Linked DNA regions of Pelodiscus sinensis. The protein of the gene in region 1 interacts with the protein of each later gene in a biochemical or structural test. Links are inferred from orthologs where the notes say so. Each region holds a gene or a part of one and is shown in the gene's direction. Other genes may lie near its edges. The genes, in order: MPDZ, corticotropin-releasing factor receptor 1, KIT and HTR2A.

What was found.
Region 2: the proteins of MPDZ (region 1) and corticotropin-releasing factor receptor 1 form a complex in vitro, tested with the Homo sapiens proteins (2 studies listed by BioGRID and IntAct, with this or other methods). The link is inferred for Pelodiscus sinensis from reciprocal best matches to the Homo sapiens genes MPDZ and CRHR1.
Region 3: the proteins of MPDZ (region 1) and KIT form a complex in vitro, tested with the Homo sapiens proteins (2 studies listed by BioGRID and IntAct, with this or other methods). The link is inferred for Pelodiscus sinensis from reciprocal best matches to the Homo sapiens genes MPDZ and KIT.
Region 4: the proteins of MPDZ (region 1) and HTR2A form a complex in vitro, tested with the Homo sapiens proteins (2 studies listed by IntAct, with this or other methods). The link is inferred for Pelodiscus sinensis from reciprocal best matches to the Homo sapiens genes MPDZ and HTR2A.

Annotation. Positions count from the first base shown.
Region 1 is NC_134716.1:23,689,484-23,696,899, forward strand, and holds the start of MPDZ (multiple PDZ domain protein), read left to right. Parts: upstream 1-4,314; 5' UTR 4,315-4,637; intron 4,638-6,157; 5' UTR 6,158-6,238; intron 6,239-7,416. UniProt on the Homo sapiens protein: Member of the NMDAR signaling complex that may play a role in control of AMPAR potentiation and synaptic plasticity in excitatory synapses. Promotes clustering of HT2RC at the cell surface.
Region 2 is NC_134739.1:4,617,498-4,625,317, forward strand, and holds the start of corticotropin-releasing factor receptor 1, read left to right. Parts: upstream 1-4,767; 5' UTR 4,768-5,171; coding exon 5,172-5,207; intron 5,208-7,820.
Region 3 is NC_134715.1:85,354,938-85,362,604, reverse strand, and holds the start of KIT (mast/stem cell growth factor receptor Kit), read left to right. Parts: upstream 1-4,453; 5' UTR 4,454-4,626; coding exon 4,627-4,699; intron 4,700-7,667. UniProt on the Homo sapiens protein: Tyrosine-protein kinase that acts as a cell-surface receptor for the cytokine KITLG/SCF and plays an essential role in the regulation of cell survival and proliferation, hematopoiesis, stem cell maintenance, gametogenesis, mast cell development, migration and function, and in melanogenesis.
Region 4 is NC_134711.1:288,143,724-288,150,928, reverse strand, and holds the start of HTR2A (5-hydroxytryptamine receptor 2A), read left to right. Parts: upstream 1-4,031; 5' UTR 4,032-5,107; coding exon 5,108-5,579; intron 5,580-7,205. UniProt on the Homo sapiens protein: G-protein coupled receptor for 5-hydroxytryptamine (serotonin).

The DNA of each region.
Region 1 (7,416 bases):
GGGCAGGAATGGGATAATCTATCCCAGATAAAGGGTCACTCTCCTAACAGCATGTTTTCTTTTTTGACCAGAGCTGTACATTAACCAGAAGCCTTAATTGCACTATTTACAATCAACTCAGATTGCTTTCCTGATATAATTAATTTAGAATATTATAAGGTATCTGAGTAGTTAACATCTTTTCTTCTGAGGAAAATGCTGTAGTGGGTTATACTACCAACCACTTTCAAAACTGGCAGGTAGAAATCACTAACTGGTTCTCGTGATCACCACATTCCTATCTGTCCTCATGAGCTAACCCCTGTCACCATAGTCTGTCTTTCTGTCAACCTTAACATCCCCAGGAGTGGTGATCAGTGTGTGAAGATGTATCAGCCTCCTTTATATCTGTTAGGAGGAATGCCCCATCTCAGTGGTTCTCAAAATGTGGTCTGTGGAAAACTAGTGGCCTGTGACCATCTTGCAAGTGAGCTATGGGCTCAGGGCTTGTTCCCCCTCCCCTGCAGCAGGCACTCCAGCCCAGCGCCAGCTTCCTGCTGTGGGTGGGGGCGCCATGAGCCTCATGGGCTGGATCCGGCTTGTGGTGGGAGGAAGCAGCTCCACACATTGCTGCTCTCCCTCCCCTCTCCTCCAGCTGGGGGAATGGCAATGCAAAAAACGGCTCATCTGGAGGCTTTCCCCATTGCTCCCATTGGCTGGAATCCCAACCAATGGGAACAGCAGGGGGCAGTTCCTGGAAGTGGCAGGAGGTACAGAGCTAGGTAAGTACCCTCATCCCCCTTATGCTCAGATTCCACACTCCCATCCCCCTCACTCATCCGCCTCATGCTGAGACCCTGCTCCTGGACTAGGAATGTTAGATACCGTGTAATTGAATAATTGTGTAACTGCATCAGATTTTTAGATAGTTCCCAGGGGCAGGGCTAGCAGCTAGTGCACTCCCAGCTCCACTCCCGGGGATCCCCCTACTACCCTGTGCTGCTGCCTCTGTATCAGAGGCTGCAGTGTTGGTGTGGCAGTAGCCCTTGTCTGTGGTAGAGCGCAAACTCCCCATGGAGCAGCCTCTGTCTGCGGCAAGTCTGGGCCTGCCGTGGACAGAGGCTCCTCTGTGGCAGCCTCCCCTCTTCCTCTGTGGGAAGCAGCAAGGGGAGAAGGGATGCATATAGTCAACAGGATTAATCTATAAGGCTTATCGGTTAATCATGTAGTTGACTAACGTTGACATCCCTATCCTGCAGCTCCTTTCCTTCCAGATCCCTCATCCCAGCCCATTCCTGCACCCTACCTCCCAGCCAGACCCTGCACCCCAGCCCACTCCTGTACCTACTTTGTCATATGGGTGGTTTGCTCCTGGTCCGCAGAAAGGTCTGCATTGAGCGGAGTGGGCTGCAGAGCAAAAAGTTTGAGAAGCACTGCCCCAGCTGGAATGGGACACCTCCATTCCACCTGAGTGCCTTTCCTGCATGGGCCTCCACTTTCTCAACTTGTTTTTTATTTTCTGCTGAAAATTCCCCCCCTCCCACCTCTGCCCTCTTATTATTAACCCCAAAGCTTTGCTACAAAAAGATAGCATTTGTCCCCACATCTCCCATTTGCAACAAATTGATATGGATTTCTAAGAGGAAAAAGCACAAAATGTGTAGGTCTAATAGGAAAAAGGAACACAATTTGTAGGCTAAAAATTAAAAACAAAAAAATCCCCCTGCCAATAGATAGGTTCAACTGATTTTATTTGTAATATTGCTTGAAGGATTTTGGCATTTATTGATTTACTTGATGAGATACACAAGATTCCTGACCTTGCTCAATTTGGTCTAGTTACTCCTTAATTTCTGTTCAAGGACAACTACACTCCCCAAAGCACAAACACCATTCCCAGTTAGCACCACCTAGGATGTAAGTGACCCCAAATTTTCTGTGGAGGTGATGTCCCTACCCACATTGCTGCTACTGATTAGTGTAGCTGACTAGCTGCAGAAGGGAGTGCATGCTGGCTTCTGTAAGAGATGGTACCATGAATGTTGAAGAGCTCCTGGAAGCATTCTTCTTTATCAAGGCACAGTGCTTCTTGGCCACAGATGCTTGGCAACTTTTCACTACCCCGATATCGAACAGTCATTAACAAGTTCTGCTCCTCTGTTTCTATTTTTCTGCAGATAGTTTCATGTGATTAATATTTCAGATAGTAATTATACAAGCAAACAAACTTTCTTTTACTTTTAAAAATTTGCACAAACAAGAGTGTGCAAAGTGCAGAATTGCCAGGGAATTTATAAAAGCCCAGTAGAGTATAGAATCATCAAGGTGACAAATATAACCCTGTTAATTAATTTAAAAAAATCAGTGGACAAACTGGAACACAATAGACCAAAGAAATGCAATCTTTTGTCATGGAAAATCCTGGAAACCCTTTTAAAGTATCAGGTGGGAAAATGCCTGGAAAAAAAGAGTGTGATTAAAACATAGCCGGTATGTATCCAAACAAGTTAGAAGGTCATGCTTAACTAAACAACTGGAGTTCTTTTGAGTTTTGAAGATTCTACAGCCATAAAAGATAAGAGAAATCCAGTAAATGTAGTTTTTCAAAACATCTGTGCAAGGTAAAATCTCCCTGCAAAGATGCAATGTAGGACTCTGGACAAGAAGATGTTTTGTTTTTGTTTTTTTTAATGAGACAAAAAGACAATCTTTCAGGTTGTAAATGTTATGAGTTTATTATCATGGCTGTATGCGTAGAATCTCTGTTGTACAGGATACAAGTAATACATGTATCTAAAGGTCAGTGTTTTTTTACCTGCATTTGAGCTGAAGAACACAATGGTGTCTCTTATTGATATAATGTGGCAATGTTTAAAAATCAGTTACATTTTGAAGAAGTAAACCAAATCAACACAAAAACAAGCAAGTCAACATAGGGTACCAGCCCCTAGTCTACTGCAACATGACGTATTCAGCAGTGTGAGCCAGCCTTCTTTCTGGCACTATGGATGCTACTGCAACAAAGCTGCTGGCATAAACAGGGAACAAGAGGTGATTTCTTGGCATTAGATAGAAAAATGATGACTCTAATGATAGTTACTAAATAAAAAGTGCGTCAGAAAGCGAAGTGCTCAGCAAATATAAATTAATTAGCATTTTTATGTTGAAAATAAATTTCACTCAAATTTCACTTATTCCATGTATTTGTATTTTACTTCAAAGGTGTTTGCACAATACAATATATATGCTTTTCATTATGGTTTTTGGCTATTGTTTTATATTCAAATAAAAACTTTAAAAAATCCCCTTTCCTTTAGTTCTAAAAAAAAAAATCAAGTTTTTTCTTTTCCTTCTCTGTTCAAACCCTGAACAAAAAATATCCATTTCCCTGAACAAACAGCAGTATAATGCTTCTATCTCACCCCCATATCTCCATTTTAGACAGGAAAATCATCCACAGAAAACTGCAGCACACAAGTGGAGCTGCAATAATTTAAGCAGTCTTTCTGGAATTTATAAAAGTGTGGCCTCAGCAAGAGATACAAGATTAGGGAAAAATCAAACATAGGAGTGATCAAATCTATTTGATGGTGGAACTGTCTCTCAAAGGATACAGAGGAAGGAACCACTCAGGACATTTCAAAGGATAGGATGTGAAAAAAGCACTTTTTAAAAATCTGCTAAACTTCCAAGCAAAATGACAGATTAGAAAACACGACTTGTGTCTTTTTTCAGTTGTATACATTTTACAACACTTGGTAGAGTCACAGGCAGTGTTCCCATATGTACACAGACATGTTTGTGCTCTTCTCAGAAGGGGAAGACATTTTAAAAATAGGAAAATGTGGCTGCAAAACTACAATCACTGGTAGGAAAGGAGGCGGCTCAGGAGCAGGTCTAATATCTGAACCAAACTACTATAAAAAGAGTGGAGTGCAAGTTGAGGTCCCTTTAGCGTGGAAAGAGAACAAGATAAGGGCTCTATAGGGAATAATGCTTAACAGCTGGGACCCCGGCGGGTAACAGATCAGATTGGACCGAGTTTTTAAGAGGCCACTAAAGCCCCTCTCTTGCGCAACCCCATAACTGTGTGGAGTGTGTGTATGTGTGCGGGACAGGGGTCTGAACGTGCTAGCTCCGCAACCTCGCTTCCACACGCAAGGTAGCGTGTTGCAGGGGCCAGCCCTCTCCCCTCCCGCAAGAAGACGTGCTGGGGGCGGCCGAGGCCACTTTTTTTTTTTTTTTTGCAACGGTGCTCCCGAGCAGCGCGGCTCCGAGGCGCCCTGCCTAGCAGCAGGCCGGCCGGGCTCAGGGCATAGCAGGGAGCGCGAGGGCCGCCAGTGGGGCCCCTCCTGTTGCTGTTGTCATGGTTCCTTCTGTGCAGCCGATTCCTACTCCCACTTCTGCGGGGCTCGGCTCAAGAGCGCCGGGTAGCTGGGAGGAAGGGGGAGGGGGCGGCTTGGCGTCTGGCCGCCTGATGGCTGGGCCGGATTAAGTTTCATGGTAGCCTCTGCCTGTTTATCCTGCACCTCCTCGCGGGCCGTTACTTGGGGGGGGGGGGGGGGGGGGGAGTCTGCAGAGCCCGGCCAGCAGGGCTGCAAGTGGTCTCCCCCAGCCCAGCCCTGGCTCGGCGGCGAGGCGCCTGGAGCAGCAAGCGGGTAAGCGGAGCGCGGCGGCGAGCCGGGGGGTGCCCGCAGGGTAGCGCTGGCTGCGCCCGGGGAACGTTCTATGGGTGCCCGGGGCTCTGCGCTCAGGGGGCAGAACGGGGGGGGGGGGGGAGGCATTTCCCCTCGCCCTGAAACCGGGTGTAGCCCGATAGTCCCGCTCCCCTGCGCGGGAGGGGCCGGAGCTGTGGCCCCTGGTTTTGCTGGTTGGAGGAGGAGGAGGGGCCCGGGCGCCACAAGGCCTTGCGCTGCGCAGGGGAAGCAGCCGCTCCTGACGGGCTGAGCCTGTTGCTTCTTTGCCGAGCTTTGGGGCGGGCGGCCTGGCTGGCGGGGGTGGGGGAGAAGTTGGGGAATGATGCTCCAGCGCCTGTGAGGGCTGCAGGGCGCGGCCCTACGCGCGGCGAAGGGCTGCCTCCTGGGCGCTGTTGCACCGACGCCGCCGGTGCTGGGCCAGGCGAGACCTCGCTGGAAACAAAAGCCACGTCTCCGCAGGCTACTGCAAGTCGCGGCTGCCGTGGGCATGTTGTAACCCGAGCCGATCGTAGCCCCCTCCCCACCCAGGTCGCCCCGTGGGCTCTGCACGCACAAGCCCTATCTTTGCAGACGATACCGTGTTAATCAACCCCCCCCCCCCCCTTTCAACATGACAAAGCCAGATCTCCAATGCCAGGTGTCAGCGAACATGTTGCCTGGACTAGACAGACGGGGAAATTGCAGGTTATGAGGAGCCTCCTCCGTTCACACCAGCAATTTCACAGCAGGTGTCTTCGCCCTCCTCTCCTCTTCCCCTCCCCGTGCTCTAGGTCTGCTGGGAAGAAGATCACATGTGAATCTGAAAAAAAAAGTGTAAATGATTCTCACTGAAAGTGCGTGGAGGTGAAGAGGAAGGGGGGGTTGCTTTGATTTATGGTGGGGTGGAAGAGCCTAGTAATGTTCAAATCATTCCTCAAATTCGTGTGATTGTTTGTCTTGGAATGACTTGGTTAAAAAAGAGAACCCTTCTCTCCTCCCCCACTCCATTCCCCAGTTTAGTGCTTTTTGCCAGGATGTTTACATGAGAGACTCCATGAAAACTGAAGCTGAAGACTTTGATGGAGTTAAAGTCTCAGAGGGGTATATGTTAGTCTGTACCTTAAAAGCAAGTGGTCGTGTGGCACCTTACAGACTAACAAAAATATGTACATGGTACCATGAGCTTTCGTGGGCAAAACCCATTTCTTCACAAAATGATCTTGAGACATCAAGAGGCCACAAATGGTTGCATTATCTTATAAATCAATTACATTTAGGGGTGGGCAACTTCTGGATTCCAATTTTGATGGAATTTCAGAAATGTTGATCTTAAAAACGTACTTATTTGAATGAACATATAGAGATATTTTTCCAGAGGATTATGAACAAGGGCCAAATTCTGCCGCAGACACATTTACCCAGTGAGAATTGTATAAGATAACAGAAGATAGAATTTAGCCTTGTGTCCTGATAACTTTATTTTGTTTATTATGTTTACCTAGGTTTATATGCTTTTAAACACTTGAGAAGCGGATACTGATGACATAAGTGTGGAATAAACAGTAACACCTTTTGAAGGAAAGGTAACATGTTTCCACGTTTTTTTTTCATATTTCCAGTTCATGAGATGCAGCCATTACTTTGCTGACTGGTCTTGTGATGCATTTCTCCTTCAGTTTTAAAAATAATACATCATTTAGCAGTAGTATATTTGATCCATATTACCCACAACCTGTGGAAAAGAAATTGTTCGTTTTGCTGGGATTTCTTGTAAAGTACGAGGAACGTGAAGGAGAAGAATAGCAAACCTGTTCCATGAAGTTTTGCTTTGCAGCAAGAACAAATCAGGGTCTATTATTGCTATTTATTTGTATTACATAGGAGCCTTAGTCCTGGATTAGGACCCCAAGGTGCTGGATGCTGTACAAACAGAATCAAAAGATGGTACCTGCCCTGGAGAGCTTACAATCTAAGTAATATCTGTAAAGCCCAATCCTGCTCCCACTGGAATCAGTGGTGAAATGTCCTTTGATTTAATTTGTATCAGGACAAGATTCAGTGCATTACTCTATCACTTCTCAAATGGACAACTTGTGAATGGGGGAAAAATTAAAAGTAAAAATGGTGGAATGTTAATTTAGAATCATGATTTGCTTTGCTTTTGGAAAAGAAATGGGTACAACATAGCAGAGAAAAATAGTTGAGCTTTTAAAGGTTTAATTAAATATTGTGTCTTAAGAAAATGAGCTTCAGTATTAATATTTGTTATTGAATGTCTCACTTTGCATATTATAGGTTCCCAAAATTGTCTTGATTAGCCAAGAAATTATGTGAAGGGAAACTGGAAAATTCCATTTTGTTATGCAAAAAAGCATCAGTCACTTAAAAGAAAAAAATCTTGGACATCTTCGTTAGTAAGATAGAGAAGTCTATGCTATTTGTAGTGTTTAAGTTTAATGTGTCTAAGAAAATAAAATTTTGAAATAATTCTGACTATATTCATGTATTCTGTTAGTGTTTAAAATACATTCAAGAATTTGGTATCTAGAATGTGTGACTGTCATTTTTATTTTATAGTTGTCTGGGGTAGTTAATGTTTAGTTGTTATAGCTGCTATGCTTCGTTCTGTAAGGAAGAATGGTACAAAATGCATGCTAGAGTAGTTATATAGTGAGAAAAAAAAAAATGACTAACTTATATAATGTCCCAAACGTGGTCAGATAAACATAATAGCAAAACATTTCTGAAGAGTTTTTCTTTC
Region 2 (7,820 bases), on another chromosome or scaffold:
CTACCCCCACACCGGACAGACAGTTCTCAGGGTTCCTCGCTTGCTTGTCTACCTCGATGAGGGACAGCTAAGCAGTCCTGTCTCGGAGTGCCCTAAGTGCCCGCACTCAGGACACCACAGCACTCGGCCACATGGAGCCCTGGGCATGTCGGTGTGTCTTGTGGGGTCATTGCCATCAGCCCAGCTGCACTTGCTGCAGGCTGCCATCCGGGGAGTCCATCGGGGGGCTGTCAGGATCCAGGAGGCCCTGCGGGAGCCCTCAGAGCCACACTGAGGAGCCCTCAGAGCCACTCCAGTCCTCCCCACTGTGGGGCTCGTGCCCCATTCCTCCCTCACATCCTTCCATTTACCCCTTTCTAGCCCCCCTTCCTGATGTCAAACAAAAGACACGTATGTTCAAAAATAGAAACTGGGTTTATTAAACAAAACTTGGGGGGATGAACCTCTGGGGAGACTGGGAAAAGGAGGTGGGAGGGGGAAGAGAGAGGGTGGGAGAGGGGAGGAGGAAACCTGGGAGGAGGGAGCTGGAAGGGGGAAGCCAGGGGAAGAAGGGGGAGGGGAAGCTCAGGGCTCAGGGTTGGGGGATCTCGCCGGACCAACTTGATTTTTGTGCAAACCTGCTCCTGGGTTCGCATGTGGCCTTTGGAGGCCAGGCTGGCAGCTATCCTCCATCTAGTGCAGAGATCATGGACATTGGGGGCATCCCCCCCAAACCTGAATAAGGTCCATGATCTCCACCCTGGACCAGGAAGGTGCCTGCCTTCTCCAGCCCCTGGCAGGCTCCTGGGAGCTGGCAGACTGGTCCTGGGGAGCGGTGGAGGGCTGGCTGCCAGTGGCTTGCTGGCTTATATTTTGGGGCCACTGGATCAGGGGCCCCAGTCGCCACTGCTGGCTCTGGGCTGGCAGGCTTGGAGTTGGCACAGGCAGCTACCCATTTAATGGCTCCGGGGCTCGGGGAGAGGAGAGTAAGTTTTCCTGGTTGTGCCCAGAGTGGTCACCAGGGCTCCCTGGGAAGGGCTGGAGGCCCCCTATTTCGAATTAAGTGTCTACACAGCACCTAATTCGAAATAGCTATTTCGAATTTGGCGTTATTCCTCATAGAATAAGGTTTACTAAATTCGAATTAAGCGCTCCGCTATTTCGAATGAATTTCGAAATAGCAGTTTGCATGTATAGACGCTATTAAAGTTAATTCGAAATAACAGCTGTTATTTTGATTTAACTTTGCAATGTAGACATACCCTGAGAGCACATGTAACCTCCTTACACCGTTATTCTCCAAACTGAATCCCAGGGAAGCAATTCTCTGTGGGGTTTTTTCAGTTACTTTTACTGTTACTTCAGTTACTCTTACTGTTCTCTTACTTTTTCTCAGTTACGCTGTAACATCTAGCAACCAAGTAAACTGATGAAGTGGGTTGTGCCCATGAAAGCTCATGCTACAATATACTTGTTAGTCTCTAAGGTGCCATAGGACCGCTTGTTGTTTTTAGAGTTATGTACTAACACGGCTACCCCCTGAGACTTTCAACCAAGTAATGTTCACCAAGTAAAAACTTACTTGTTTTGTTGATAAAAATCACTTGAAGATTGTGATCTGATTGTGTCTAAAAGGCAAGAGGTTCTGTGTGCACATGCCTAAGACTGCATAGAAAAATCACAGGGTTGGTTGTTTTTTTTTCAAGCTCTCACCAGAGGGAAAGTTAAAGAGCTTGAGGGTACTTCACAGGAAGAAATTCCCAAATGCATCTTCCTGGGTTCTCAAATTTGTTTATTTTTTTTTTTGTATTTGGGTGGTGGCAGCGATACCCATCCAAGGCCAGGGATTCTGTGACCTTGGAGAGTTTTTAAACAGAAGTCTTTACTGGCATTTGGCGAGGTATTTTAAAGTCTCTTGCGGGGCCCACCTTCTGCATTCAAGTGCCAGAATGGGGAACAGCTTTCACAGAGCCTACGCTAAGGGACTTAGTCAAAAATCTAAACCTAGTCGGCATTTCTACCTAGTGACCAAGGATAAGGGTCACGGTCTCTTGTGGCTGTGTAATTTAATTCTGAAATCCTACATGGTTATATTGACCAATTTTCTAGTTGGCATTAGCCATGTCTTAGTCCAAAACATAAAAATATAAAAACAGCCAGACTGCATCAGACCACAGCTCCATCTAGCCCAGTGGCCTGTCTTCCTACAGTAGCCGATGCCAGGTGCCCCAAAGGCAATGAACAGAACAGGGAACCATGGAGGAATCCATGTTTGCCTTCTTATCTCCTGTACTGTTCATTAACTGTTGTTATGGGTATTTTACAAAACGCTATAAAACTAAATTCAACTCTTGAGCCCTTTTCTTTAGTTAAGCAGCTGAAATCAAAAGAGCCTTAAGAATGGGGATAGGAGGAATCAGGCAAGCAGTTGCTTTACTAAGGCTTGGTTTCTATCCTATCATTCTTGCAGTATTACATGAGAACATAAGAATGGCCGTACTGAGTCAGACCAAAGGTCCTTCTAGCCCAGTATCCTGTCTGCTGACAGTGGCCAGCACCAGGTGCCCCAGAGAGGGTGGACTGAAGACAATGATCAAGCGATTTGTCTCCTGCCATCCTTCTCCAGCCTCTGACAAACAGAGACCAAGGACACCATTTTATCCCCTGGCTAATAGCCTTTTATGGACCTAACCTCCATGAAATTATCTAGCTTCTCTTTAAACTCTATTATAGTCCTAGCCTTCACAGCCTCCTCTGGCAAGGAGTTCCACAGGTTGACTACGCGCTGTGTGAAGAAGAACTTTCTTTTATTAGTTTTAAACCTGCTACCCATTGACCTCCTGTTTATCTGTCCAGGATACCCAGGGCTACTCCTGCCACAGTAATTGGCAGGAGCAGTGTTTGACTGAGGGGGAACTGCTGTTGGAACTGACAGGGAATCTGCCCTTTCTGCTGAGGACAGGGGCGGGAACACTCAATGATTGGCTGTTTGGTTCATTCCCAAAGAAGCACTTGGCATTGGCCACTGTGGGACTAGATGTGCCGTTGGTCTTACCCAGTATGGCTGTTCTTATGGCCTCTTGCTTCTGCTGGAGGCTGACTCCTGGCACCCCAGGCTTCAGAAAAAAGCAAATCCCTTGTCTTTGGAGTATACCCCGAGAACCAGGTGGTAGTAGGACGGCAGCAGGGGGGCAGGAAGGCCTAGTGGACAGAACACTCAGGACTCAGAAACACTGAGTTCCTTGCTCTGGCCTTTTGGGTAATGTTGGGCACGTGTCTTCACTTCTCTGTACCTCACTTTCCCCACCGGTAAAATGGGAACAATAATGCTGCACTCCTTTGTAAAGCACCTGGTGCTCTATTGGCCAAAAGCAAGAGATTTGCTCAGTCCCCAGCAAACCGGGGGCGAATGTCGGCACAGACATGGCTCCCTGAGCCCCTTTTCACTGGCTCTTCACTGGCAGGTCTATTCCCAGGGAATCCCCCTGGGGCAGGCACTCCTCCAGCACCCTACCCAGCCGTGCAGCCGTCCTTCCACAAACCGGTTCAGGCAGCTAGCGCCGTTGCCCACCGAGGCCTGCAGAGTGACATGGGAAGCCGCAGTGCAGGATGCTGGGTGCTCACCGCAAGGGGACCTCAGGTCCCACTCAAAGTGATTTACTGGCAAGAAAAACACAACAGTGCAGCAGCCCTGGCACTGCCGCAACCCCCAGCAAGCTACAGGGTCTCTGAGCATCAGAGAATATCCCCTCAGTCCAGGCAGCCCAAGTCTCCTGGCCCCAGGAATTGCAGCCAGGCTATTGTATTGCAAGGAGCCACTGCTTTAGTTGATTTTATAAAGGCAATCCCTTCCTCTGCCAACCTCCTCAGTCCAGGCACCTTGGGCAGCAAGGAACAAAAGCCTCTGCCTACCAGGTCTGTTCCTCCTGGCCTGGAAACAGCTTGAAAATTATAGCCTGGGTGCTGGACCGCCAAGAAACAAACCAAGGAGCTATTTTGTCCTGGCTCTCTCCTAGGGACTCCAGGGAAAGTGAGAGGGGCCCTGGAGTGGCAGAACGGTCTAGCAGTTAGAGCAGGGGTGGTTAAGAATCAGCACTTTTAAATTGCCCCCCCCCCCCGGCAAAGTCACGACTCTTGTCGCTGCCTCTTGCCTCAGTTTCCCCAGTTGTACGATGGGAATAAAACACGCTGATTTAAATCCCGGTTGGAAGCGCACTGGAGTCTGAATTCACAGGACTCGCTGAGGCGCTCCCGTGTCCAGGGGTGCGAGATGGGCCGCGTGCCTGGCCGGAGAGCTGCGGCTTCACTCCGGTTCGCTCAGGGCTGCCCCGCACTGAGCCCGCGGGCACCTGCCGTGGGCAGCAGGAGCTGCCAATATTTGCTGGTCCTGGGGAAGGGCACAGCCGCGCTGGGGAGGGCAGACAGGGCGCACCGTCCGGAGGAGGGAAGGCGCCAGGGCGCAGTACCACCCCCGGAGCACCAGAGGCGGCGGCCGGCACCGGAGTGGGGCAGGCGGCAGAGCCTCCGCCGCGCACCCGGGACAGCTCCCCACTCCGCACCCCCGCCTTGTCCCGCCCGCTCAGCGCCCCCGCCCCAGCCGCCCGCTGCATCCTGCGCCCCAGCCCCCCGTGTGCGCCCCGGCGGGGCTCCTGCCCGTGCCCGGGGGCTGCCCATTGCAGCGCTGCAGCGGGGGAGTTAAAATACCCAGCCCGCCTCCTCCCCGGCCTCCGGCAGAGCCCCCCGCCCCGCCCCGGCTCAGCCTCTGCAGCACCAGCCTCGCTGCTGGCCGCAAAGCACCGGCCCCCTTAGGAACCGGCGAGAGCGGAGCCGCTGGCGCGGGCGGGGCTGCCCTTGGCTGGGCAGGTGAAGTGCCGAGGGCAGAGGGGGGCTGTGGAGGAGGAGGAGATACGCCGGGGGGAGGCTGGAACCCAGCCCCATCCGAGCCGGGGAGCCGGAAGGCGGCGAGCCGGGCAGCCCGAGCGCAGCAGGATTATAAAAGGACCGGCCGGGGGCTGGCGGCGAGAGCCGGGGGCCAGCTCCTGCTCCCGGAGAGCCCGCTCCGCAGGCAGGCTCCTGCCAAGCAGACCTGGCTCCCTCCCCGCTCCTCCGCGACACCAGCATCCCCGAGCAGTGCGGCAGCAGACGGGCCATGCCGGCCGGAGCCCGGCCAGGGGGGAATTAACAGCCCCAGGATGGTGCTGCGGCCAGGTCCGAGCCTCGCCCTGCAGGTAAGAGCCGGGCTTTGTCCAGGGACCCCGCTCACTCGAGCGGGCTGCATTGGCACAAGCTGCGCCGGGGGCGCCTCTGTCCCGGCCTCGGCACTTGGGGGCGAGTTGGCGATGTATCGAGCCCGCAGCAGCGCGCCATGCAAGGAGCCGCGGGCGCTCCAGCCGGGGCAGAGCGAAGAGGGAAGGCTCCCGGGGGTCGTCCTGGGGACGCGGTCTGGGGGCAGCCCTGGGAGAGGGCGAGCCCCGCTTGCTCCGGCAAATCCCCTGGCGCGCTGCTCCGCGCGGCTCCGGCTTGGTTCCCCGCGGAACCATCTGCTCCCGGCTTCCCTGAAAGTGGCCGCGAGTCGAGTCCCCCGCTGCCTTGGCTGGCTGGAGCCGGCAGGGCCCCTACCGGACATGCCCGCCCGCTTTCCCCGCTGCACCGGCCCCGGTCCGAGGGATACTTGTGGGAACACATCGAAGCTGGAGCCGCGGGCGGGACAAGCCGTTGCCTTTCCCCCGGGCGAGGTGCCGGGTTCCGCTGAGAACCCAGACCCAACCCACACGGTGCCAAGGGGGGGGGGGGGGGTTCGACGAGCACCCGAACATTTTTGGCAAACCCCGGCGCGGGGGTGGCAGAACGCGGCTCGCTCTGGGCCGGTGTAGAGGGGACCAGCTCTGTGCAGCCCGCTGAGTTCCCGGCGGGGGAAAGCCCGCAGCGGCCAGAGACAGTCCGCAAAGGCGGAGGGCTAAGTTCGACCGGCCCTCTGGGCGCAGCGGCGCTTTGCAAGCTTGTCGGTTGTGCGACAGAAGTAATTGCAGACCCTCGTGTTACCCGGAAAACCGGGGCGTCCAAAGTGCCAGCAGCGCGGAGCATTGGGAAGAATTACTCGGAAGTGCTAACGCGCGCCAAGGGTGCAGCGCGGTTCCACGCTCCTGCCTTGGATGAGCCGAGTCTCTGTTGTAGTCGCTGTGCTACCGTAATGCTGCATGAAGAGAGCTCTCGCGCAATGTTATGGTCGCACCATTCGTGGTAGGCTTTGGATTTTTGAGGTTGTTTTTTTTTTACAAAAATCATGGGAAATATTGTCTGTTTCCAGTTAGCGTTTAAATGCTCCTCTGTGTTTTCCCCGTCTTTGAGCTCAGGAAGAACTGCCCCTTTCCTGTCACTTCTGTCCACACCCTTGTCCAGAGCCCCTCTGGGGAGTTCATCCCAAACCATTTGAAGAGATCCCGAGCAATTGACCAAGTGGGGCAGAGGGATGAAAGTGGAGTAGAGGGCAGCCTTAGCTAGGTCCGGGTCTATACTGTCTAGGTAAACTGATAAATAACACACCAGATCCAGCACAATGAAATTACAAGGCAACACACTTCATAGAGTCTGGCAATGGAGGGGAAGTTCTGCACCTGTGCTGAGGCAGAACCAGGTGAACCTAGAACCTAGAATCATGGAGATTCGCCACAGGCAGGATTCCATATGGTTTGTGTCTCTGAGCGGCACAGCTGCTCGCAGTTCCCAGTGGCTGTGGTTTGCCGTTCCTGGCCAATGCGAGCTGCAGGGATGTGGTGGCCCAGCCCACAATGCTTTCTGTGGCTCCCATTGGACACTGGGAGCTGCAAGTGGCCTGGCTAACACATGCCCAGTTAAGCAACCTGCCTGGCAGCCGGATGAGCCATGTCTGGCATGTGGGCTGCAGGGTCCTGTGGCTGACCCAGAGCATCTCTAGACCATTGGGTTCTTCCTTCCCCAGACCTGAGGAAGATTCTGAGTAGCTTTGATGATGGTCCCTCCCTCCAACAGAAGTCGGTCCATCCTCTCCCCTCTTGTCTCTGTCGTAGCCTGGGGCCAACAAGTGTTTATCCAGCTTGTTCCTTAAAACCTGCAGGGATGGAGATTTCACAACACCTCTTGGAAGCCTGTGCCAGAGATTAACTATCCATATAGTTAGAAAGATTTTCCTAATATCTGACCAAAATCTCCCTTCCTAGGATCCGGTTTAGAGGGTTACCTGAACTAACACACCTCTGATGAATCACATTACACTTCCTTCCCACACTTTATTCTCAGCACCTCCCATGATTGACCTAGGAGGGAAGCCTGAAAGAATTGGGCTTGTTTAGTTTCGAAAAGAGGAGATGGAGTATAAAAGGGTGTTATAAGGAGGAGGGAGAAAAATTGTTCTCCTTGGCCTCTGAGGATAGGACAAGAAGCAAGGGGCTTAAATTGCAGCAAGGGTGGTTTAGGTTGGACATCAGGAAAAACTTTCTGCCTGTCAGGGTGATTAAATACTGGAAGAAATTGCCTAGGTGGGTTGTGGAATCTCCATCACTGGGGATATTTAAGAGCAGGTTGGACAGATATCTATCAGGGATGGTCTAGAGGGTGCTTGGTTCTGCTGTGAGGGCAGGGGACTGGAGTCAATGACCTCTCAAGGTCCCTTCCAGTTCTAGTGTTCTATGATATTCCTCCTACTTGGGGCCTCTTCGGGGAAGGGCTGCTACTATTCTCAAGGGCAAAGAAGTCATAGCCTCTGTGTCTCTCAGTCCTGGGCAGTCTTTGCAGGGCTTGGGAGACATACGAGTCCCTCCTAGACCACAACAGAGTGGAACAGAGATGCCGCTGCTCCAAGTGGC
Region 3 (7,667 bases), on another chromosome or scaffold:
GCCCCCTCTCCCCAGATGGCAGCCTGCGGCAAGTGCAGCCGGGCTGATGGCCGAGTGGTGTGATGTGCCCAGTGTGGGCACTCCGGGCACTCCAAGCCAGGACTGGTTTTCAAGCAGGGCACCCCTGAGAACTGTCTGTCCGGGGTGGGGGTCGGGTCCCTTTAAGCACAGCCCTTGGCTAGCCTGAGACAGCATCTCCACGCTCTAAGTCCTCCTCTGATGTCCTGCCCGCACTGCTTACGGCCATCCTTAAGCCCTGTTCAGGGTCCACTTAATGTGGACATGCTAGTTCGAATTAGCAAAATGCTAATTCGAACTAGTTTTTAGTTCTAGACGCGTTAGTTCGAATTAGCTTAGTTCGAATTAGCGCTGTAGTGTAGACGTACCCTTATTCTTGTGATGTACGTCAGATCAATCAAAAGTTTTATTATTTTATTGAAGTTTATATGCAGATAGAAATGTCCTCTCCCAAAAATGTAATTTAAAGAAAATACCGGAGGAGTTGACTTAGTCTCCCTGGGTATGTCTACACTACAAAGTTAATTCGAACTAACGAACGTTAATTCGAATTAACTTTGATAGGTGCTACACTAGCGCTCCGCTAGTTCAAACTTAATTCGAACTAGCGGAGCGCTTAGTTCGAACTAGGTAAACCTCATTGTACGAGGACTAAGCCTAGTTCGAATTAAGGGGTGTGTAGCCCCTTAATTTGAACTAGTGGGAGGTTAGCCCTCCCCAGCTTTCCCTGGTGGCCACTCTGGCCAATACCGGGGAAACTCTATTGCCCCACTCCGAGCCCCGGAACCCTTAAAGGGGCACGGGCTGGCTACGGTGCCCGTGCCAGGTGCAAGCCTGCCAGCACCCAGCCAGCAGTCCCTGCACTTGGCACGGCTTGAGCCAGCCACCCGATGTCCCCCAGGCCTCCCCCTCTTCCCGGGACCAGGCTGGCGGCTCCCGGGACCTTCCCCAGGACCGCAAGAGTCGGGCACCCGCCTGGTCCAGTGTAGACATCGTGGACCTCGTCCATGACCTCCGCACTAGGCACAGGAAAGCGGCCGTCTAGGGCAGGAGAGCTGCCAGCCTGGCCACCCAGGAGCAGGTTTGCATGCAAATCAAGGTGGTCCACTGAGACCCCCCGACCCTGAGCCTTGAGCTTAGAATGGCCGTACTGGGTCAAATCAAAGGTCCATCTAGCCCAGTAGCCTGTCTGCTGACAGCAGCCAACCCTAGGGATCCTGGAGGGGATGGACCAAAGACAGTGACCAAGCCATTTGTCTCGTGCCATCCATCTCCAGCCTTCCACAAACTTCGGGCAGGAACACCACTCCTACCCCCTGGCTAATACCACTCCATGGACCCAACCTCCATGACTTGATCTAACTTCTCTTTAAACTCTGTTCTAGTTCTATCCTTCACAGCCTCCTGCAGCAAGGAGTTCCACAGGTTGACTATTTGCTTTGTGAAGAACAACTTTCTGTTATAGGTTTGAAGCCTGCTACCCATTCATTTCATTTGGTGTCCCCTAGTCCTTCTATTATGGGAACTAATGAAGAACTTTTCTGTATGCACCCTCTCCACCCCACTCATGCTTTTATAGACCTCTATCATATCCCCCCTCCATCTCCTCTTTTCTAAGCTGAAAAGTCCCAGTCTCTTTAGCCTCTCTTCATATGAGACCTGTTCCAAACCCCTCATCATTGTAGTTGCCCTCCCCTCTCCCACCCTCTCTCCTCCCCTCTCCCACCTCCTTTTCCCAGTCTCCCCCAGGTTTGTTCAATAAAGAAAGATTCTATTTTTGAACACAATTGTCCTTTATTTTGTACATCAGGAAGGGGGGCTAGGGAGGAATAAGTGGAAGGAGATAAGGGAGGAATGGGGTACGAGCCCCCAATGGGGAGGACTGGGCTGGCTCTGTGGGCTTCTGGGGGTGGAACCTCTCCTGCAGCCCCCCAATTGCCCTCTTTCCCCAGATGGCAGCCTGCGGCAAGTGCAGCCGGTCTGATGGCCAAGTGGTGTGATGTGCCCAGTGTGGGTACTCCGGGCAATCCAAGCCCGGACTGCTTTGCAAGCGGGGCACTCCTGAGAACTGTCTGTCCGAGGTGGGGGTCGGGTCCCTTTAATCACAGCCCTCGGCTCGCCTGAGACAGCAGCTCCACGCTCTAAGTCCTCATCTGATGCCCTGCCGGCACTGCTTCCGGCCATCCTTAACCCCGGTTCAGGGTCCACTCTGTGTGGACATGCTAGTTCGAATTAGCAAAACGCTAATTCGAACTAGTTTTTTAGTCTGGATGCATTAGTTCGAATTAGCTTAGTTCGAACTAAGTTTGAATTAGCGCCGTAGTGTAGACATACCCACATAGATTTAATCATCTTTGTAATTACTTATTTAGATTTGTAGACATGCAAAACATTTGGTCTGGAAGAAATCCCAGTAGGATTTTTCATGACCTGTAACAGAACCTGTATCCAGAACAGGATGTAAAGGTCTGACTTGATCTCCAGCAAGAAGTTAATTCTTTACTCAGACCTGACACAGAATGGAAGGAAGTAGCAGGGCTAGTGTTTGAAGGCCCCAATCAGTCACGGAGGAAATGATACAAAAATACACCTAGAAGAGGCAGAATGCTTTTTGAAGGCAGAGTTCCACAATCACTGTTCACAAGACTGAGCTGTAAATAAGATGGGTTGTTTCTCTATATTTTCTTGTTATGCTAAGCTATATTGGTCTTTATACACAGTATCCTCAGGAATGAAAAAACCTTGGGGAAGAATAACTTTTTTGCAAATATTTTCAAATTCACTGCACTGGGTTACTAACTGAAATGTCTTACTACAACCTTGAAGAGGATTTCCATGCTCAGAGGTAACAAAGGGGAAAGTTACAGTACCCTGCAGTTTGTAAGAACTAATCTATTTTCTTAATATAGATTGCAGACTATAAACTCACAAAGGTTTTATCAAGAAGTTTAGAACCTTTATTTTCTGCTTAAGAGTCCACTGAAAAGACAATTTTTATAATAGAGTATCATGTATGTAATAACACAAGACATATCTTTAAGAATAGGATATAGTTTTTATAGATCCAGTAAAGACTGTATCTATGCACTTGACATCTGATGCTGGAAAACTCTTTAAGGACTAAAATGGCAATATCGCTTTAAGATTATAGGGACAAATGAATTTAAATATGCATTTTATAGATTAGATATATAAGGAGTCTGAGACACCCTCTTCCTCAGTTGGAGTGAATAGACATAAATTGAAAATATTTTGCTATTAAAATGCCCTCCAAAATTAGTTTTGAGGTTGACTCCTGGTGAAAAATGTGATTTTAAAGAATGCTATTTGATTTTTTAAATATAATATTATTCAGTTTCCAGCTATCTACCAATAGAGACCAGTGTTCTAAGATGAAAGTAGAGAAATTGAGACAGCCATTTTATACATACAAGACAAAGACAAGACTTTGATCTAAAGACTGTCCTGCCCAGATGGGAGGTTAGAAGGAATGACAGTTTTAGAAGGAAAAAAAGAAAAGAAAATGAATAACTTATTTTCAATAACTCTTCTGATCTTTACTGACACACTTGAAAGTAAGCTCACATTGATTCTAAAAACTTAACCTGTCTCCCTCAATACATGCGGATGCATAATAAACAATATTTTAGGGGTTTCAATTCTCTTTAGCTTTTTGACAGTTTTCCTTCACACGGCCCAATTGTGTCTTTTCTCTCTCTGGATGTCTAACAACATAAAAAAGTTATTTCCGCATGGGAGTGCCTTATAGAAATGAGTAGGATGTTGTCTGGGTTATCTGGTGCTGAGTGGAATTTCAGTGCTGTTAAACGTGTCTGTTTATGTATACACATGATCTGTTCGCCAGCGTGTGTGTGTACGTGTGTCTATACCTTTGGGCAAGGATTCTCCCCTCCCCTTTTTTTCACGGCTGTAGAGATATTTGATCCCATTGTATGGCTCAGGTTCTTTCTGAAGGGAAAGAGGCTTTGTTTAGCTGTAGCTCTGCTTGTTAAGGAATGAGTTCCCCCTCCAGAGCCCAGTCCTGCCCAGCGCTCCCTGCAGGGTGCAGGCTAACCCTGGTGTGGAGAAGCCCCATTACCTACACAGAGGCTACACGCAGGATTGATGCCGATTCCATAACCATATCCCAGTGGCCCTCCGTTTAGCGAGTGTCGGGGCTGGAAGCTGTGACCAAGCTGCCGGCTGGTCGCTTCTCAGTGCAGCGCAGCGCCCCGCCGCTGGCTTTAGGCGGGCTCCCGGGCTGCTCCCCGCGCTCCGCAGCGTCCGAGAGCTCGTCCTGATAACGTGTGAGGCCCCTCTGGCTGACACCCGGCGTCACGCGACACCGAGTGTCCGACCCGCCCCCCCCCCCCCCAGCCCCCTCGGGCAGTGGCTCAAAGGGAGGGGCCCGGCGGGAACTGGATGAGCCTGACTGGGGGAGCCCAGCCGAGACGCCCGAGCGAGCAGCGGCCCGGGCCGGGGGGGCGTGGCTGGAGGAGGAGCAGGTTGGCGGTGGCGCTGCGCTCCCTCCACCACTGCCGAGGCTGCCGCTGCCGCGGTGTCTGAGCGCTCCGGAGGCTCGTGGCAGCGCCGGGCGCGAGGAGCAGCATGGAAGGGTCCTGCCTGGCCTGGGAGCTGGCGGGCGCCGTGCTGCTGCCGCTGCTGCTGGGCTTTCCAACAGGTGGGGCTGTGCCGCGCGGGGGCTCCGCGCTCCTCCGCCTGCTTCGTGCGCGGGGGGGACGGTGCATCCAGGAACCGGGGAGGGAAGGGGCAGCACGCACCGGCTTCTCCGCTCCCTGCGCGGGGCTGGCAGCGCGGCCGGTGTGGAGGAGTTTGGGGATAAAGGCAACTCCTAATGCACCTCCGCCTGGGCCGAACTGAACAGCCAGTAGCCGGCGGAAAACACGTCAAGCCGGCTCCCTCCTTCCAGCACCTGTGCGCCTCTCTGCCGAGGCAGAGGAGAGTGGCGGCCTTGCCTATCCCCCCCCCCCCCCGGTAAAGACACCCCAGCTGTGTTTAGTGTGAAAACTCTGGCTGCAAACAGTCGGAACAGCGGGTCGCACGGAGGGGCAGGTTCCTCCCGCTATTCCGAAGTCCCTCCCGCTCCCGGGGGCTGGGGCTTTGGCTTTGTTGCGCTGCGGTGAGTGCTGCTGCCCTGCGTTTCAGTTGCAGGAACTTTGCGAAGCTTTGCTTAGTTTGGCCCGCCAATGAGTCGCTTGAGCGCGAGTTTTGGAGACGCGTGAGCAGTGCTTTCTGCTGGCAGAGTTGCATTGGTTTTGGAGGGGCAGCAGGGTAGCCTGAGAGCTACCGAAGTGTCTCATTGGGGGACTGACCAGGGAGTCAAAATAATCATTGCTGTTGAGCCAGTGGAATCCGCATTTTTGTTCATATTCCCCATTCGAGGTCTGGCTGCGCGCCCCGGTAGAGGTGCTGCCCATAGTCAGGGAAAAGGGGCGGTAGTTAATCCAGATTTGTTCCGAGAACTGTTATCTGCCGGGGAGAGGGGTTTTGCATCTGATTACTGTTTTGTCAGTAAAACTATCTCTCCATCAGTACAAAACGTCCCTGTGGTTAGATTGCTGTTAACCGAAATAGTAACGAGAAATGCTTCCAAGAGCCGCAGTCCGGTGTAGCCCCAGTGGCGAAGTTGTAAGTAAAGTATAGCAGACCTTTTCGTGCGGTCGCTGATTTCCATCTTTTTTTCTCCCATTTAACTGCTCTCCGGAATGAACCGTTTCATGGCTGAATTTAGTAGCGCATCTCCTAGTCAAAGTGGTTTTGCGTTTTGTTAGTCTTGTGCGAGGCAAGTTTTTCATCTGTTCTTTCCCAGTAAGAAAACCTACCAAACCCTCTTTTGAAGGAGGTTGTTCTTGTACCGGGCTTGTGGATTTTTAGGTCCTTTCACCCATGCCATACAGGACTGTCCTAAAGAACTGAATTGATGGTAATTGAACCAATGGGGCAGCACCAATGCATGTTTATCATGCCATTGTCATGCTAATATATTGCCCTTTTATTTGGACAAGTCACTCCGACTTGGCATTTAGCAATTCCTGTCACCTTCATTCATGCTAAATTTTACCCTATTCTGCAGGTAGTCCAGCTGAAGTACACGGGGGTAATTTGTAGCGGAAGGAATGTAGTCAATTCCGAAAAGGTTGCAAAATCAGTCTCAGCTAGCATATGTGTGAAACCTGAGCAGTTGCCATCATCTGGATTTAAATTGTATAGAAGGTCAGACAGTGTCAAACCCAAGTCAAATTACCGATGTCATCTGTCAGTGCAGTAACTGCAATATGTCAGGCTGACAGAGATGAGATTTCCCCATCAAAATATTTAATCAAAAACATGTAGGAGAGAAGCTATCAAATATTCTCAGAGACACAAATTCATCCCTAGGATAACTAATGGTTTATAGGAGTTGCACCAGGGATGAATACAGTTCACCATTTGTATGAGCACTGGAAACCTGACAATATAAAAAAGCTAATGGTGGAGGAAAGCAGTGGATGGTGACAAAACATGAGTGGTGATGGAACTCAGTTCTAACAATTTTTTAAAGAAGTGGTCTTGCAAATAACCCTCTCTGGCCCAGCGATTCTTTAATTTGTCCACAATGGAATGAGATAGAGAGACAGACAGACTGACTCTGTAGACATGGATAGTGCACTAGGAGTGGCAGTCTCTCTCATGCCGTTCACTGAATTTTACAGTTATTTAGCCACAATGGAAAAGCTTCAGCAGGACCGAGTAAGAGAGATTTTCCTATAGCTCAGTGGTTAGGGCACTTAGTAGCAGACTGCTTCCCCTGGAAAACTTGAACCATGAGTCTGCCATATCCCAAGTGAGTACTCTAACCACTGGGCTAAAAATTATGAGAGGGTTGTCCTCTTGCTGCCCTTTTACCCTCAGGCTACTTAAAAAAATGGCATAGGTGCCTGACACCAAGAGAGGGGTAGTAGCTGAGGGCTTGTCTACACTAGGAATGTTAAAATATGTGTGTGTGTTTTGGTAAACATGTAACTTCTGAAATGTTCAGTGGCTACACAATAACACATGTGGGGCGGGAGAGACAGTTTCATGGGAGCCAGCTTAAAAATCAGCTCCCTATGCATGCTGACTCCTGCCTGCCCCCTACACTGCTGCCTCTGTATCAGAGGCAGCAATGTGGAAGGCAGGTAGGCATCTCTCTGGCTGTCAGTGTTGGCTCCCTGCGAGCGCTGGCTCCTGCCTGCTCCCCCTACCAATCAATGTTGCTGTCTTTGTATCAGAGGCAGCAGTGTGTGTGGGGGGGCGGAGGGCATGGCAGCAGCACGGGAGGGAGCTTATGTGTAACCCTGAAGGTTAACTGATGAGCCTAGGCTCATTGGTTAATGTACACAATCATATCCCTAGTCTACACTTACAGTGCTGTCGCTGCACTTGTGCAGGCTGCTATGCTGCTGAAGCACTTAGGAAGCTTCTCCCATCAGCCTAGAGATATGTAGCTATGTTGATGGGAGAAGCCACAACCCTGAGCAAGTTAGTTTTATCGACATAAGTTTGTAATGTAGACCAAGCCTGAGAACCCCAAGCTCAGATTGGTGCCTGTCTCTGAGGTTACGTCTACACTGCAGGCTTTTGCCGAAAGAAAGTATGCTAATGAAGCG
Region 4 (7,205 bases), on another chromosome or scaffold:
AGACAGGGTGAAATAGAAGTATACAGAACTTACAAGCAAGTCATTATATATTAAATCATTATGTATCATACTTATATTCTTCTAACCAATACTAAAATAAACATTTTTGTTACAGATGGAGGGGAAGCTCATGCCTCCTTTCATTCTCAGGTCTGCCCATCCTCAGACACCATTGTGTACTGCCTTCGATGCTCCTGGTTCAGACCTTTTCTCCTTCTTCAGTGTTTCTGGCCCATTCAAAGTAGCACTCTGGCTAGCGAGCTGAGCCTTTTCAGATACAGATACAAGAACTTGCCTGAAAAGGGAAATTCATCAGCAAAGCTAAAGCATAACAACTATTATGCTATTGCTATTCTGATATTACTCATTTGGGCTCACACTTTATTCTGGAATAAAAGTGACTTTATTCTGGAATGATTACTCTGTTTTTATTGTTCTACAACTGTGCTGGTCAATTTCATCATGTATACAAAACCCAAGAGGTCATAAACCATAACTGAGGACTGAATGTGAAGCAAGAATATATACATGTCAAGCAAATAATTATAGAAAGTGCATACATAAAACTAGACTCACTTCTTTTAGAAATGAATTCCCAGAACAATAATAAAAAAGAAAGCTCATTAATATATAGCCCTCCAAGATGTGCGTATAACTACCTAAATACATTTCCTTGTACTTCCTCTTCTTTTTAAACTTTCTTTTTAGTTTGTTAGGTGTCTTGTCTCCTCTTAAATTTTAATATGTTCACTGCAGGAACTGGTTGGGGAGGGGGGCTAGGATAACCAGCACACTTTTTGAGGTATATAAATAACAGAATGTGGAACAATCTATCAAGTCAACATTACAAATAGTGTACATCAATCCAAAATGCAGGGAGTAGTGAATCATTCGGGACAAAGGAATATCTGATCCAAAATTTAATCCATAATTAAATAAAACCGATTCAAACATTTGGGGTTGGAAGAGTTTATTTAACTTCTTGTAGGTATGTATTTTCTGCTGCATTTCCTGGTTTCAGACAAAATTAGAAGAGGAGGAGTCAATATCCTATTACAAAGAGTGTTTATGGGGTATTTGTGGCCAGGCTGGAAGTGTGACTAGCCAAAAACCTCATAAAAATGTTCTCATATGAATTGGAGTCCAATTATATGAAGAAAAGAAAGCAAAACTTTAAGGCCTCTTATGCAGTAAAGGGGAAAGTCAACTTAAGATACACAACTCCAGCTATGTTAATTATATAGCTGGAGTCAAAGTATTTTAAATTGGGTTTTGCAATGTCCAAACAGCGGAAGGTCAATGGAAGCACACACTTGTATTGACTTCCCTTACTCCTTGCAAGGAGCAGGAGTACTGGCACCAACAAGGGAGCACTCTCAGTTCAAATTCACACCCCAGAAGATCGACTGCAGCTGTGTCCATCTCTGTAGTGTAGTCAATCCCTAAGAGTACTTTTTCTGAACTGAAACATCTAACCTTTGATGATCTCCCCTCAGTACAAAAGAAAGAGGAAATAAGGTGTTTAGGGATACAGAAACTCACTACACTCTGGAGATTATGGCGAAGACATATCAGTGCTATTTAACTATTTGGTTTGATTTGTAATTGTAAGAATTTGTAATTCACAGCTATCAGTTCTCCACAACAACAGGAATAGACTGCTCCAACAACCACTAATAAAAATCATAATAAATCCCAATTTAGTAGCAACCCAGATCAAAGTAAAAAAGCCTCCAAATGCCACCCACACCTTACCAAAATATCCAAGAAAACAGATGGGTTTTGCAGCTGTAGTCAATACTGTAAGTTTATTGCATAGATTTAAAGTAAGAAGGGCTCTACTTTTAGCTGAGTGGAGCCATACGTGCTGGAACTAGGGGCACTACTGCACCCCCTGGCCTGAAGTGGTTTCCATTATAAACAGAACTTGCAGTTTGGTTCAATGGTTCTCAGAACCTCCACTGTGCAAATTATTCCAACACCCCTAAGTGGAGGTTTGCTCATTTCAAAATGAATGTTTACATGTTCAGACCCTTAGCTTCCAGAGGTTACTCTTCTGTATGAAACATGAAGGTTGCCATACACTAGAAATCAGTGAATTCTATGTAGTCCTTACAACACAATTTGGCCTCTATTACCAGGACAAAATATAGGCCCAATTTCTGAAGGATGAGCGTCTCCAAGAAGTGCAAGTACCCTCGATTCCATCAAGATCCACGTTAACAAAGGCTCTCTGTTGCCACACGGGAACAGTTCGCATGATTTTAACAAATGTAAAGGAAGCCAGAGGTCTTCAGATAAATAATCTAAGTTATCTTTAGATTCAAAATCTAAAGAATCCTTCAAAAAGAAGGGGGAGTTCAGAAAAGGGCAACTAAAATGATAAGGGGTTTGGAACGGGTCCCATATGAAGAGAGGCTAAAGCCACTGGGACTTTTCAGTTTAGAAAAGAGGAGACTGAGGGGGGATATGATAGAGGTATATAAAATCATGAGTGGTGTGGAGAGGGTGGATAAAGAAAAGTTATTTATTAGTTCCCATAAAAGAAGAACTAGAGGACACCAAATGAAATTAATGGGTAGCAGGTTTAGAACTAATAAAAGAAAGTTCTTCTTCACACAGCGTATAGTCAACCTGTGGAACTCCTTGCCAGAGGAGGCTGTGAAGGCTAGGACTATAACAGAGTTTAAAGAGAAGCTAGATAATTTCATGGAGATTAGGTCCATAAAGGGCTATTAGCCAGAGGATAGAAGTGGTGTCCCTGGCCTTGTTTGTTAGAAGCTGGAGAAGGATGGCAGGAGACAAATCGCTGATCATTATCTTCGGTCCATCCTCTCTGGGGCACCTGGTGTTGGCCACTGTCGGCAGACAGGCTACTGGGCTAGATGGACCTTTGGTCTGACCCAGTACGGCCGTTCTTATGTTCTTATGTAAAATGAGGATCAATACATTCCCAGTGGCACTTCCAAACAGGGAAGTGGGAATGAAGGGTCGTCTTGGGGCTAAGATACTGGGTTATGACTTAAAAGAGCTGAGTGCAAATTAGAGCTCAGCTACAGGCTTCTTGTGCAACCTTGAACAAAACACTTAATCTACTCTGTGCCTCAGTCTCCCTTTTGTAAAAAAGCATGCTGTGAGGATAAAATTGGTCCATGATTGTAAGGCATTCAGATAGCATGATGATAAAGGCAAGGTAAGAACCTAGATAGAAGAAGGTGAAGGAGCTCAGTCTTTAGACAGAGAAGAGTGGGGAGAGATGTTTTATATTGGTAAGGTTGTAATTGGCCCTAACAATGGGTAGCTTGTTTTATTGTCAATATAACACATACATTATTCTCAGTTACTCTCAAACGTCTCATTATCTGTTAGCTAGTTTTCCCACAGGCATCCTGGCACCAATGTTACAAGGGAATAGGCAATAATCCTGGAAGAGCATTTATTTTCTCTTCTTCATTGAGATTGTGTTATCTGATTGGATTACTTCACTTAGGATGCTTCTCTTTCACACAGCTTATTGGGGTTAATTGTAACATCATGCTCTTGACAAATTAAAAATGACATCCAGGTATATATGCAGTATGGTCATCAGGAGAGTATATATGTATTATAATATGTTACAAGTATTATATTTATTATCAGAAGATATATCTTGGCAAATTGTTTATGACATCAGTGAAGAGCCAAAAATAAAATAATAAAAATCTAAATGTTAGTAATTCATCTTAGGGTTAGCATAAAAGCTGCAACCTTTAGGATAGAAAAATCTGCATGTTTACAATTTTACCAGCATGTACCATTGCAAGGCTTATTTATTGCCTTTCTTAAAACTTCACCCTGTGAAATATTATCAGCACGTGCAGCTGCTTTGCCCAGCATCCTTTACAAACGAAAATCATAATTAAAAAAAAAAAAAACCCTAAGCCCTCAAAGTGATAAAGCGAGAAAGCTGGGTTTTATGTATAAAAAAGACCCTATTTGGTCTGCCCTCTTTTGCTGTTGCTACCTTGCAGTTTATGACATCTAGCTAGTGGGAGGTCTGACAAACTGAACAAGGCAGTGAGCAAGAAATTACATTCCTGTTGAAATCAGTAATCCCTTTGTGGAGACTGCTACGTCTAGTTTGTGTGATTTCTTTCGTGTCACTTGGAGGTGGGCTCTATGGTTATTGTTATTATTTTAAATATAGCTTGGGGAGGGGGGGATGCACAGGAACAGAGACAGCAAGCTGCCCATCTCTCAGAAGAAAAGAACAAGATTCACAGCACAGGAACTGGCATCACTCTAACATACAGAGTAGAAGTCAACAAAGCTGTACTCAAAATCATTTTTGTAGAGACTGAAAAGAAAGAAGACAAAAGTGGATAACACAGTAAAGGATACAAGAAATCAGGGTATAAAGTGACTCTAATGCACTTTGAGTGTGGGCTCTGAAGTACAATGTAAGTCTTGCCTTATCTTGTATTTTTAAAAACTGTTAGTACATAATAATTTTATTTCTATTTTCAAGCCATGCTGGGCCAAAAAGTAATTATTACAATTACATATTAAAATCAATATGGAACATTACTTGTAATCTTGGTATGAGACTTAAAATGATATTGTCATATGACAGAAGTCAGAGACTATCAACTGTAATATCGAAGATGAACTATAAGTAACAACATATCTAATTATTGTGAGACTAAGATGCTGAATGGAATCTTTAATCAACTTTCTTAATACAGAGTGCAAAGAGTTCTCTTGCTTTGTATAGCAAGCTACTTTCATACTGCTGTGTTTAAAACTGTGTGATTACAGTTACCAATAGCAATAGGATGTAGCTACAAAAGGGAATCCTGGTGGATGCAAAAGTTTTTTGGCCAATGTTTTTCCTCTCTGAAGCCTCCAGTCCACATTTTCTAGCCTGTGAGTTTTGCTTTTCAACTGGATTTTTTAACATATGCAGCGATTGGACTCCAAGTGGAACTGAAAACAAAAGTATCTGAGGATCCAGAATAACTCCATCCATTTTCTCAGTGTTATGTTAAAGATGAAAATACAATCAATCATAAAGAGTACCTCCTTTTCATCAGCTTCAGCTTTGAACAACAGAGGAATATAAAGCCTGATGGTGACAAAGGGTTATAATTTTTTGTTTTTTCACTGTACATCTGCCCCGGTTTCAGACTTAGCAATGGATAGTCTTTGTGATGAGGAGAACCCAACTGTGAATTCTTTAATCCAATTAAATCATGAAAGAAGATTCTACAAAAATGTTTTTTGGCCTGGAGAGGTTAATACATCTCATCTGTTTAATTTGACTATGGACTCCGAAAACCTAACTAATCTTTCATGTGACGGTAGAGTGACTCCACCGTGCCATTCCTCACTATTTCATCTTTCAGAGAAAAACTGGCCAGCTCTGCTGACAGTTATTGTGATTGTTCTAACCATTGCTGGAAATATTCTTGTTATCATGGCTGTGTCACTGGAGAAAAAGCTACAGAATGCCACTAATTATTTTCTAATGTCACTCGCAATAGCTGATATGCTGTTGGGTTTCCTTGTCATGCCTGTGTCAATGTTAACCATACTGTATGGTAGGTATCACTAGTCTAACCTATTACACGTATTGAGTAGCTTTTAAAAAATTGTATGCGCACACTGTTATTATTTCAGCTTGATAAGGAAAATGTAAATATATGCTAGTTTTAGGGTATTCACTTGCCACCTCCCTATGCAAGGTGAAAAATAACTATAGAGGTAAATGTATATAAAGAACAGATGAAATATGTATGTGTTTATTAACTTTTAACTTCTAAGAATGGACATTTTAAACAGTCCAAAGTGGCAATTTACCACTTTGATTTTTATGGAATTGTTTTATAATTTCTCTTTTGAATCAATGTTGTCTTTGACACAGTTTTCAGTGTTTCTATTAGGGAAGTAACTTCCTGTCAATTAATTTCCTCTGCAAATATGCAAAGAAACATTAATATCTTGATACTCTCTGTTTAAAATAGCCTGCCTCTACTTATTTTTTTATTTTTTTAAATGAAGCATTGCAATTTTAAATAATTTTCTTTCCACTGTGATCTTTATTTATATGTTTATCTTTTAAATTTCATTAGCTACTATGAAATGTGGAAATAAGTGTTTCTTAAGGAGGCTGAAAAGTGAATAGAGTTAATGGTACTCAACTGCTAGCAACATTTACCAATTAACAACCAAAATATCAAGACATTTGTTTTTTATTCTAATGAGTAGTTTGAAAATGTAAACTGAATTGTGACACTGTTTATTGTGATAGGTATTGGAAGTTTGTCATTTTGATCAAAATCCTTAGTAATCCCTGTTACACAGCAGAGACGGTTGAAAAGCAGCAGCCTAATAGTTTTTCTTCAAAACTTACAAAACTACCTATTGCCATAATACAAGAAGAGAAGAGCTATGAGATTAAATAGCTTTTAAGCCTGTTTCAATAGGCTAAATCATCCACCACTAAACTGTAACTTTAGGATGATTTTATTAGGAAACAGTAATGTAAGAGTATGCTGCTTTTTTCACTTTGCCTGTGTGTTGCAGACAAACTACCTCAATGGTATTATCACATTAGGTTAGTAATTGGCATGGGACTGTGACTGATTTTATCAGTAGTATCATTACCTTTGGTAATAGGGAAGCTAATCCAAAATAGTGCCATAGAAGCAGTAATTGCTTGTTTTGTGAGATAAAAGTGAAAGACTCAAGCTCTGGATGGTTCAATGACACATGCAATAGGGACTCCTGCTGGCCAATCCCTGCCCCTGCTCAGAAATTCATAAGGAGCACAGAGCTTCACCTCCTTCTCCTGGTGTGTGAAGGCTGCAAAAGTATGAAGACATTCATTTATTTTAATTGTAGTATTTACATGGTCAAATGCACCCTTACTACACACACAGCGATAGGAGGGCAGCTGCATGGTCACTGCAAAAGAGAAAAACTCCATTCTCTCCATTTGACAGAGGAAGGACTCTTGGTTTGCTTCTGTTTTTCTCTCCTCTCCCCAACCCATTGCACTGCAATGTCTTTTGCCAGAGGAACAATGCCTTTCCAGGATACATGCATTTGAAAAATCACTCTGTCATTCTGGCATAAGCTTTCCTAGAAATGCAGCATTAGCCTGATACATTATCAGTATCACAATGACCAGCAAATAGTTGATTCTAGAAAACCCTCCCTCTTCC